Coturnix japonica: one gene and its partner. The protein of the gene in region 2 interacts with the protein of the main gene of each other region in a pairwise test. Links are inferred from orthologs where the notes say so. Each region holds a gene or a part of one and is shown on either strand. Other genes may lie near its edges.

Region 1 (5,361 bases), on a different chromosome or scaffold from region 2:
AACATGAAAGCAGCTCCTTTGTCTTAACTTGACTCTAGGAGCTCGTTTGAACCCAACCAGTTCAGACATCACTGAATTTAATCCAAGCAATAAAACTGGGCAGGCAGGCATGGGAAAGTCAAGTCTCAACAGACAGGCACAGCCCTCGCAACGGATAAAGGCTGAAGCCATCCCACATTCCCACAACGAGTTTCACCAACACAAGCAAACACAGCTTGAGCTTACAATGTGGGATCTGGGAGCCACGTACCGATGGTGCAGATGATGCCGGTGTTTCTGGCAATGGTTGGCTCGGAGTCGATGTCCAGGCGGCACATGTGCTCCAGAAAGGTGTCTGCCATGGCAGCGTGCAGCTGCTGGGTCTGGATGAAAGCGGTCCCTGCATCGTGGTGCTTTGACATGGTTACTGATGTTCGGTGTCTGCGAGAGAAGAAAATGGTGCCGGGTTTAAGGGTCGCCCCTGCTCGTTCACCATGCAGAGACACCAACACACCCACGTGATGAATATGGAGGTAACAAGAAAGCTGCTACTGGGTCAGACTATCGTTATGTTCCTACTTGAGAGTCTTAGGTACAGGCAAGACACACTTCTATTTAAATGTCATTCCCCATGGATGCCACCCAAAGCTCACCTGCCTTCTATGCAGAAGTTCCCTTCATAGCTTCTCTTCATTGCCAGTCTTCCCCTGCAGCTACACAACGCAACAAAATTCAAGCGCTTCAGTGCACAGGCAGCGTGCTGCCCGCTCCCTGCCCGCTCTCAGCCCATCTCTGCCAGCAGCCCAGGGATCAAGGCAGCTGGTGTGACTGCAGTTGTGCTGCACACGGGGACACACCTCAGCACACCAAGTGCACCTAGGCTTAACCCAGCCTTTAAGCCCGCACAGATAATCAGACTTGAGTTGATTGAACACAACACCGGGGCAGACGATGCAAATAAGACAAAAGAATCCTTGAATGTCCTCCTCCAAATAAACAGCAGCAGTCTCCCACAGCCCCTGCATCTGTACGAAGCCTCCACAGGGCATAAGACTGGATGTTTCTGGGAGTAAGAAATCCCATGTTTGCCTCCATGAGACAAAAGCATCCCCAGAACAGCGGGGAAGGTCCCAACCCCATGAGAAAGCTGAAGTGAAACACTGATGTGTGCTGCAATGGGAGCACACCCGGCTGGGAATTCTGTCCTCAATCAGCAACGCAACTAAAACCTGCCTGTCCTCTCCTGCATTTACAGCCAGGTGAGACAGGACTTTGTGCCTGTGCAAGGCTCAGCTTTTCGCATGCTGCTGCCACCAGCTTCAGTGCATTGCTCCCCAAGGTGTGGGGGGCTGCTCACCCTCGGCACACTGCGCCATGCAGGGACACACTCCCATCTGGCACATGAACAAAGCTCACCATTTTTTTCCCCACGCTGCACCTCCATCTGCACAGGGCATTAATAAACCAGCAGCTCCTCTAAAGCTGAGCAGAAGGGAGCAGTGTGAGCACGGAGGTCCCTGAGCAGCCGCTCCCCCCTCCTACGTGCAGATCCTCTCGCAGGCAGCCCTGACTCACCATCACCTCATCGACGCATGAAATGGAGCGCAAAGATGGGCCAGCAGAAACCATAATTTGTCCTGGCAGGCGGCCTTTACCTCAGCCCTGCCAGAAGCTGCTGATTCACTTCAGTCAGTACAAGAAAGCCTGCCCACATAAAAGCCTCAACAAAGGCGTTTTATTACAGGGATGCCCGCTGCTCAGACCTGAACACTGTGTTTCAGCCTTCTAACATCTGCTGGTGCATCCTGGAGCACCTGCTGGACAGGACAAAGGGCCTCTGCCAGGAAACTGCCTCTGCAAACAGCAGCAGAAAGAGCCTGTGTGACTGCGGGGAATAGTGGCTGTAGGGAATAGGGCTGGGGAGAACAGAGCACTGAGTGCAGCTCATACAGGAGCACAGCCGCCCTGCTTTGGAGGCGGCTTCCTCCTTGTGGAAACTCCCCACCCACTGAAGTCATTTGTAAGTGTGATTTTCAAGCCCCGAAGGCTTTGCAATAGTCTAAGAAGGGAGGAGAGTTAAATTGCTTGGAGTCAGAATCCCCTGAGATTTTGCAGCCACGCAGTGACCTTGTATGGGGAGGACAGAAGAAACACGGCACCAGAATAAAAACCCAGCCACCATCTGCAGGGCTGCAGGGAGCCCCACGTTCCTCTGCTTCCTCCTGCATTCCAATTGCAAGGATGGATGCTCCAAGGGGCTGTTTTATAACCCCAAGAGGAACGTCTGGCATTTCCCACTTTTTGTCTTTTAAGAAACACCTGCAGGCACAGTGAGCTGAGCTGGGAAGGGGGTGGGGAGTAATACCTCGCAAAGCCTGATTCCCTGCACAAAGCAGCTTTCCTTTCTCGGGGCGTAACTCTTAAATCCCTCCAGGTATCACCCCATTCCAGGCAGGGCACGCTCAAAATGGCCGATGCCTCCCCGGCCGCTGAACATTCCAGAAGGGCCGGACCGTTGGAGGGCAGCGGGCCGAGCAGCGGGGTGACTCAGTGACTTACGGAACGTCCGGCTGCGGCATCCCAGCCGTGCCCGGGGCACGACGGAGGCTCAGCCCCACCGCCATCCCCACCCCACGGCCACGCAGCCGGGCTCCCAGCACGCCGCCAACACGGCGGGCCCCCCGGCAGGGAGGGGGGGATGACTCGTACTGCGGGAGGTTTCGCCGCATCCTTATGCAACTGCAAGATGGCCTCCAAGGCAGCCCTCGTGGGGACGGCCGGGACGGGACGCCGAGCCACAAGGCGGAGGATGAGCTTTGGGCATCGCGCTGCTGTGCTGCGGCTGCCCTTCCTAGAGGACAAGGGCACGGGGCAGGCTCAAGCGAAGCCTGTTTAATCAGAAGGGAAGAAGCGCGGGCGACGAACTTATGGCGTGGAGCTTATGCCCCTTATGCCCCGCGCAGCTCACACCCCCCAGTGCCGCCCATGCCGTACGTGCCGACCCGCACCGCGCGGCGCCGCCCCCTCCCCCCGCACACGGCAGCACGTGGTGGCGGCGCTCGGCCGAGCCCGTTCGTTCCTCCGCCTCCCGCAACCGTCCGACGGCGGCTCGGGAGCGGGCCGAGCGCTCACGGCGGCGGTTTCGGGCCGGCGTCGGAGGGCGGTTCCCCAGTTCTAACACCCCCCCGCCATCCCCTCCCGTTCCAGTGCCGTCCCTGGGGCAGGACGATGCCCGAACCCGGCCCCGCGCTCCCACCCGCTCCCCGAGCAGCGCTGCGCCTTAACGGAGCGGCACCGAGCGGGCTCCGCACGCCGCCCCCCGCCAACGAAAGCGCCGTAGCCCCATTCACGGCCCCCGAGCGCCTCAAAGGCCGCAGCGGGGCGGAGGGAGCGGGCAGGCGGCTACAGGGGGACGGATGGGAGCACGGGGCTGGGAGAGCGGGGAGCCTCGGCAAGAGCCGAGCGGGGACACGGCACGTGGCCGCGGCACCGACGGCTGAGTCAGGGCGGGCGGGCGGAGCGCTGGGGGCACACACGCACCTACATACACACACACCTACACACACGCACCTACATACACACACACCTACACACACACACACCTACACACACACACACCTACACACACACACATCCATCCATCCATCCATCCCTCCGCCGCCGCTACCCCAGCCGCGTGGAGCCGCCCTTCCCCTCAGCGCCCCCTCGGCGTCTCATCGCCCTGCCCTGAGCTTAACACTCCCGCTTGAACGCCGGGTCCGGCGACGATGACGGCGGCCTCGGCTACCCGCCCTCCTTCAACGCCCTCCCTGTGGGAGCCGGAGGCCGCCGTTACCTCCTGGTGCTGCCGCGGCTGTGCCCGGACGCGTCCTCTACGAGCCCCTCCGCCGCTCTGCACGCCGCCCCGCCGCAAAGCCAAGGTGATCCCGGCCGAAGCACCGCCCCGCGGATCCCTCCGCCCACTGCGCAACGGGGCGAACGGCCGGGACTCCTTTTTTCGGCGGACGCGCAAGCTGCGGAGGAAGCGCTTTAACTCTCACGCACCGCGCAGCCAATCAGAGGGCGGCAAGCGCAGCCGGAGAGCACGCGGGGGAAGAGTGGCTGCGGCCTTAAAGGGACCGCGCTGCTCTTAAAGGGGCCGCGCTGCTCTTAAAGGGGCCGCGCTGCTCTTAATGGCTCCGCTCCCCTCGGCTCTCCCACCCGAGCCCCTTGCCCACGGTACCTGCAGGGATGCCGGACCGCCGAGGGACGCCGTGAAGTGGCTCCTGCTGGCCTCTGAGCCACCCCGCGATGTCCCCCATGTGTCAATGGGGTTTTCCCCGAATCTAGGGGACAAAACAGGTGTCCCAGTGAGAAAAGGTCATTGCACCCATGTGGCTTCGTCACACATAGCCCCCCAACGCGGTGACACCCACAGAAGATGGGGTGCAGGGGGAAACGTGCCATCCCCCTGCTGCCAGCTCTGAGGTCTGGGGACAGAAATAGACACTTGGGGACAAAAATAGGTATCTCGAGTTACAGAGCTGGCCTGGGCACCCGAACTTGTCAGCAGCCATCGAGTTGGTGTCCCCATGGTTCTGATTGGTGTGGGGTGTCCCCAGGTCATCCCAAAAAAGGGAGAGAAAGGCAGGGACATGAGAACACTGTGCTGGATCTATGGGTACATGGTGCCAGCAATGGGGGGACCCTGTGCTGGGACCATAGGGACACTGCTGGGACCATGGAGGACCCTACCTGGATGTTCTGCATTGGGATCATCAGGACATTGTGCAGGGGACAGTGTGCCAGCACCACAAGTAGGGGCTCTGTTCTGAGGTCCTCTTGGGGTCCTTGTGACAGTAATGTAGCACCCAAAGTGGGCACCCAGTGCCACAGCCATGGGGACACTGTGCTGGTGACACTAAGTGGAGACCATGGGGACCAAGTGTGGGGCCAGAGAGAGTGGGGGCAACCATGAAGAAACAGGGGAACCTGTAGGAACCCAGTGTGAGGCCAGGGGAACTGTGGGCACCCAGCATGAGGCCATGAGCACCAAGGGGGACCATGGAAACTGTGCTAAGGACATTTGGGGACACTAAGCAGAGACCATGGGGCATCCAGTGTGAGGCCAAGGGGACTCAACATGGGGCCATAGGGACCGTGAGGGACCATAGGGTTCCTATGCTGGGGGCACTGAGTGGTGACCACAGGGATCTAATGGGAGGGTACAAGGACCTATGGGGAACCAACGTGGAGCCATAGAGACCATGAGGAACTGAGGGACCACAGGGACCGTGTGCTGGGGTCAATGAGAGAGAAGTGCAGACACCCAATGTGAGGCCATGGGGACCGAATGTGGTCTCATGAGGACTATGTGTGGAGGACACTGAGCGAGGACCATAG
Region 2 (5,668 bases):
TACTCGTGTGCCTGTTTCCACACTAGGAGGGCCCTTATTCCCTACAGGTCACTGAGAACTTCTAAAAGGAGCTGCTGTTCTTTAGAAGTTCCAGAAACATTTTTCAGGAGGTATACATATATATAGGTATATGTATACTATATATATATACACACACACATAGTATGACAAATCTCCAAGAGAAGTTCAACATACGGAGTAATTACTAGCAGTGAATCCATGAGTGTAAAACTGACTGCATCAGCTCTAAAGCTTGCCTAGAACTGGGTGATGCAACTATTTGCTTAAAGGCCATTTGAGGAAAAGGGGCTTTGTCACATCAGATGCTTCTCATCCAGCCATGCTGACGGCTTGGTTCAATACATCCTTTCAGTGGTTGGAAAGATTCTATGGCAAGTTCCAAATGAGTTGGTTTGGAAAGTTTCATAAAGGGACTAGCTCCCATTATCTCAAGGTGAAGTAACCAACTAGTCCGTGTTAATCATGAGGAGCTTAAAATTATGAAGAATTGAACAGTTTGTAACACAACACATACTGTTGGTGAGAATATGACTAACCTGATGCTTAAAAAATATATTAAAATCTATTTTAAATTTTGGAAAATAGCTTACAAAAATATCTTCACTTAAACTATATATCATACAAAAACTGACTGGTGTGTGGGTTTACAGTACAAAACGATTACTGGTGGTTACAAAAGGGAACAGTGATCTATAGTACCCTTAACGAATGCGCAGGGCATTAAATCTCACTGCCTTGAATTAGTCTCTTGTGAGAATTAAGATAATTTCCAATGCAACTCAAAACTTTCAAACAGTATCTATTAAATCTTTTTCTGAACTCCTATTCAGCTTCTTTTAAAAATCACCACAGTGCTGTGGCCCAAAAAATAAGAGTAACCCAACTAAGGGCAGAAATAATTGCTCTAGATAATAAGATCTGTAGAGAGCTAAATACAGCAATGTCTACAGTTGTTTCTACTGCCCATATTATCAGTTTTGCCTTTTTAAGAGGAAGTGACACCAGCGGACAATTCCTTTTAAATCAATTTATGGGCAGGAGTAACAATTTTTGGTCTAGATTGGAATTAGTTTAAATACACGGGTTTAATAAATACAAATATACACATCTGTATACATTAAATGTTGTCACGTGTATAATTTCCACATATACATTATATACAGAAATACATACAAGCACATGCTCCTCCTGACAACACTATCTCATTTTTCCAAGTGTCACCAAAAGGTGAGATAAGAAATAGAAGAAAGGTTAAATATAGGACATGACTAAAAACCCAGCTATCGTTTTTTCTATAATTAAAGAATTATAATAAATGCAACTGAAGACAAATGCTGTGCTTTCCCCATGTAACGCTCACAAATCAATCGGGTTTCCTGGGTAAAAGCTAAATCTGGCCCTGTGCAGTGCTATAAGATCCTTGATATTTGTACTGTGTGTCTAAAGCGTTATGTGTATGACAGGTAATAAAAGCAGTTGTGTAATCTAACACCTTAGCCAGTCCCAAAGTAGACCACAGCAGCCTCCTGATTCTCAACTGCTAGTACAAATTTGTTCAATGTGAGAGTGGTTTGAATCCAGTTGACTCCATGGTCTCAGTTAGGAAAGGTCAAATGGTTATTGACTACTGGGGAGTTTGCACTATTGTCTCTTAAATGCTGTGCAACAGGTAAGAGCCATTTCTTGAGTATACAAAAGTCTGATTCAAAACAACTAGTCCTCTCTTTTACCATAACATCTCAAAATAAAGGAATTCAAAAGCTACAAGTGGACCACAAGAATGCCTCCTTAATACAGCCACTCAAGACGCATTAAATCAACATATTCCAGTTTTAAAGCACTTTAAGAAAAAGTGAGATGCAAAACAAGATGTAATCTGTACATTAAGATGGATTTTCAAAAGGAACATAAATCTGAGCACAAGGAAAAATGAGGACAATACAGATGTTGAGACATTCAGTAGCGTGGCTTCTGTTCATCTCAAATTACAGCACAGCTCATGCATCACACATCTTACAATTTTACATACTGTACATGATATAGAAATAGAAATATTTAAGTTAAAATTTCTTTTACTGATATACTGTACTCAAATTTTAAATCCTGAGAGGAAAAAAAAAAAAGTGTGGTTACGTATGTGCACCACATCTCTGATACCACCAACACGTGCACCACAGGATATAAGAAAGTCTAGAGAGGAATTACATGCTGGAAGTGTAACTCATGAAAGCCATCGTTTCTTGTCCTTGTTTGGGAGAGACAATTCAATTCAATAACCTATTTTGTACTACACAACAGTATATACATGTACATAAAACTATGGAGTTTTCTAACGACTGCAGCTTGCAATAATGGAGTGTTTCTGTCAGTTTCTTACCAGCTGCAACACGTGGCTTCAGCAGAACATTAGGAAGAACAATACCAGTTACCTTGCATGTAGCACTTAATCACAGTTTACATTTAGTAAATCTGTCTCAGATTAGTCCCAAACATCACTTGTAGAACATGGACAACTCCACCCACATGGGTCTTGTGTCAAGAACAATAAAAGCTACACTAGAATTTTCAGGTGATTTCCAGTGCTACAGAGCACTTCTCCATGCATTCTGGAAGAAAATAAGTGGCAGGTCCATGTTTATCACAAGTGCAACCACAGATACTTCCTCAATCTCACATTTTTAATAGTTCGTCTCAGATTCCAACACTGGCCATGCAATTTCGTTATGCATCGGGACATTCAACATGCTGTGACCTTGTGGACATTCTGCAAACAAGTTAGGAGGCGATGATATGGGGTTCCTGGAGATGCCACCACCTCAAACACTGACTGAAAAGCCCTCCGATCTAATTCTTCATCAATCTGATGTCGGTAGAAGTCCATGGCCACCAAACAGAAGATATTAACATCCACTTGCTCCAGTTTTCCCATTCTGCTGATAATATGTGGAAGACTGAGATGTAAGTTAAGGTCAGAAACGACAGAATTTAATCACGTTTGGTTTACTACTTTAAACACTGCTCTCCAATGAAGCGGTGTATATTTGAGTTCATTAGCAATGTGAAAAACACTTTCATGTGTTCACTGAACAGCTACTGCATAAATCCTATTTCTTCAGCAGCTTAACACAATTTTTTTATTTCCAGAAACTTACGTTTAACCTAGCAGCAGTCTTTATCTAATGGAGGAAATGGTGCAATTAGTCTGAACTGCCTACAGCAGTTATTACTTTTGACCTCCTAAGCTATAAATATCCTTTACAGAATCACATTTACCCAGAAGTGACACACATTCGGGCTGTTTAGGATACATTGCTGAAATCCATTGACTGGTGGAAGCACTGACAAAAAAACAGGAAAGACTCCACATTGCCATTGCCACAGGTGTTCTCTGTGTGAAATTAGAGAGAGACAGCATCACCCAGTCACGGACCATTGAGGACTGCCCAGTGGTATGTAGCGTCTGGAATACCTGCAAAAATATTTTACATAGGAATAAAGACAAGACATACAGACATGGGAAGAGTTGAGTTTCTCTTTTGAAGGTTTACCTCATCTACAGAGCTCTGAGGTTCAGAGCTGTTGGAGACAACTCTGACAAAGTGATTCTGCAGAGTGGACTCGTGACACCTGTGGCAAATTGAAGTGAGCGCACAAAAAGCAAGACCCGCATTGTGTCTCTGTTTTTAATACATAAAGGGTGGTGCATACATGCACGAGTACAATAAGTAGGTGATGGAATGCGGAATACCAAGAAGCCCAACTATGTCTGCCAGAAACTTGGCTGGTTTCATAAGACCAGATGACCCAGAGTGGCTTCTCAAGACCAGAAGAATCTGAGCAGAATAATCACTGCTATTAATTTTCCCATTAATTTTCCTTTATCAAGGTGATTCTAGATCCGCCACTTCCCCCAGAACACAAAGTTCACAGCAGTACACCTCAAACACTGCTGAATAGCTTATTAGATCTAGTGAAAATTATATTTGCCCCTTGTATTCAAGTACTGAAGACTGAAGAGCTGTCGCTCACTTAGTAGTTCTCTGAAACCTGTAAGGAAAAAGACAGATATATATTACCTTATAAACTACTGTTGCCATAAATTGTGGATAAGGCTGCTGATTGGATAGAAATTCTCCAATAACTTTATTCATTACATCTTGTGGAGGAAAAAAGTCATCAAGGAACTGTGGAAGAATTCGGGCCACGACTCTAGCTTCAAAAGGAAACCCCTTCCTGATCCTAAAAATAATAGAAAAATAACGATTTATGATTTAATTCCAGTGAACATCTTGTTAATTTTCAAATTAATTGCAATAGGAAGAATACTCTGTTTTCATCTTTAGATAGGCAAGTCTTAAACAAGAATTCAAGACTTCACCTCATCTTACACTAACAGTGTAGACTAAGAAATGTAAAAAGCTATAATAAGTTCTTAGAAGTTATTCCCTCACCTGCCCCCCCAACGTTTTTCCCCACTTCCTTTCTCAAGTAGCCAATGTTTTTTAAACTGCTGGTTTAGAGACAAGATTTCACAATACAAATACTGATAAAGTTTAATGAGAATTAAAAAAAAAAAAGCGAGATCACTACTACTAATTATCAGAAAAAAGACCATTCTCTTCAACATCTTTATCAGTGACCTGTAAAGTGGGACTGAGCATACCCTCAGCAAGTCTGTAAACTGAGTGACGCTGGTACAACAGAAGGAAGAGCTGCCATCCAGAGTCAAACTTGCAAAGTGGACCCACAAGAACGTAATGAGGTTCACCACTGTCCAATGCAAGGTTTGTGCAGACCAGGATAAGAACTCATTGAGACCAGCACTGAGGAGGACTATGGGATTCTGATGAACAGATAGATGCGAGTGTGCACTTGCAGCCAACAATGTCATCTATATCCTGGGCTGCATCAAAAGAGGTGTGCAAGGTGAGGGAGGTGATTGTGCTCCTATACTCTGCTCTTGTGAGGCCCTATCTGCAGTACTGCATCCAGGCTTGGGGCCAACAGCATAAAAAGAACATGGTTAGGGAGCAGGTTCAAAGGAGGTGACAAAGACTGAAGCACCTCTCCTATGGAGAAAGGTTGAAGGAGCTGGGCTTGCTGAGACTGGAGAAGAGAAGGCTCTGGGGAGACCTCACTGCAGCTTTCCAGTACTTAAAGTGTGCTTATAAACAGGAGAGAGACTTACTTTATACTGATAGCAACAGGACAAGGGGGAATGATTTTAAACTAAAAGATGGGAGATTTAGATAACAAGAAGAAATTCTTTACTCAGAAGGTGGTGAGGCACTGGAACAGGCTGCTCACAGAAGCTGTGGGTGCCCCATCCCTGGAGGTGTTCAGGGCCAGGTTGGATGGGGCCCTGGACCCTCTAATGTAGTGGTGGGCAGCCCTGCCCACAATAGGGAGTTGGAACTGGTTAGAGATGGGCTTTAAGGTCTGTTCTGCGATAAGCAGAACCTTGATTTTCATTAATAACATCTTAGCATATTTTTAACTCAACACCAGAATGACTAATGTACAACTGAGAAAATCACTGTAAAATGGGGAAATCTTCAATTTAAAGGCTATCTTATTTAACGAACACAGCCTGAAAAATCTTCCTAATAAACACCGCATCTCTCAGTGTGCTAAGATCAAGCTAGTA

What was found.
Region 1: the proteins of HTT (region 2) and PKM interact in binary tests that used the Homo sapiens proteins (3 or more experiments, as listed by UniProt). The link is inferred for Coturnix japonica from reciprocal best matches to the Homo sapiens genes HTT and PKM.

Annotation. Positions count from the first base shown.
Region 1 is NC_029525.1:981,178-986,538, forward strand, and holds the start of PKM (pyruvate kinase PKM), read right to left. Parts: upstream 3,901-5,361; 5' UTR 3,815-3,900; intron 693-3,814; 5' UTR 674-692; coding exon 633-673; intron 421-632; coding exon 251-420; intron 1-250. UniProt on the Homo sapiens protein: Catalyzes the final rate-limiting step of glycolysis by mediating the transfer of a phosphoryl group from phosphoenolpyruvate (PEP) to ADP, generating ATP.
Region 2 is NC_029519.1:74,565,708-74,571,375, forward strand, and holds part of HTT (huntingtin), read right to left. Parts: intron 4,261-5,668; coding exon 4,098-4,260; intron 3,491-4,097; coding exon 3,330-3,490; intron 2,973-3,329; coding exon 2,759-2,972; 3' UTR 1-2,758.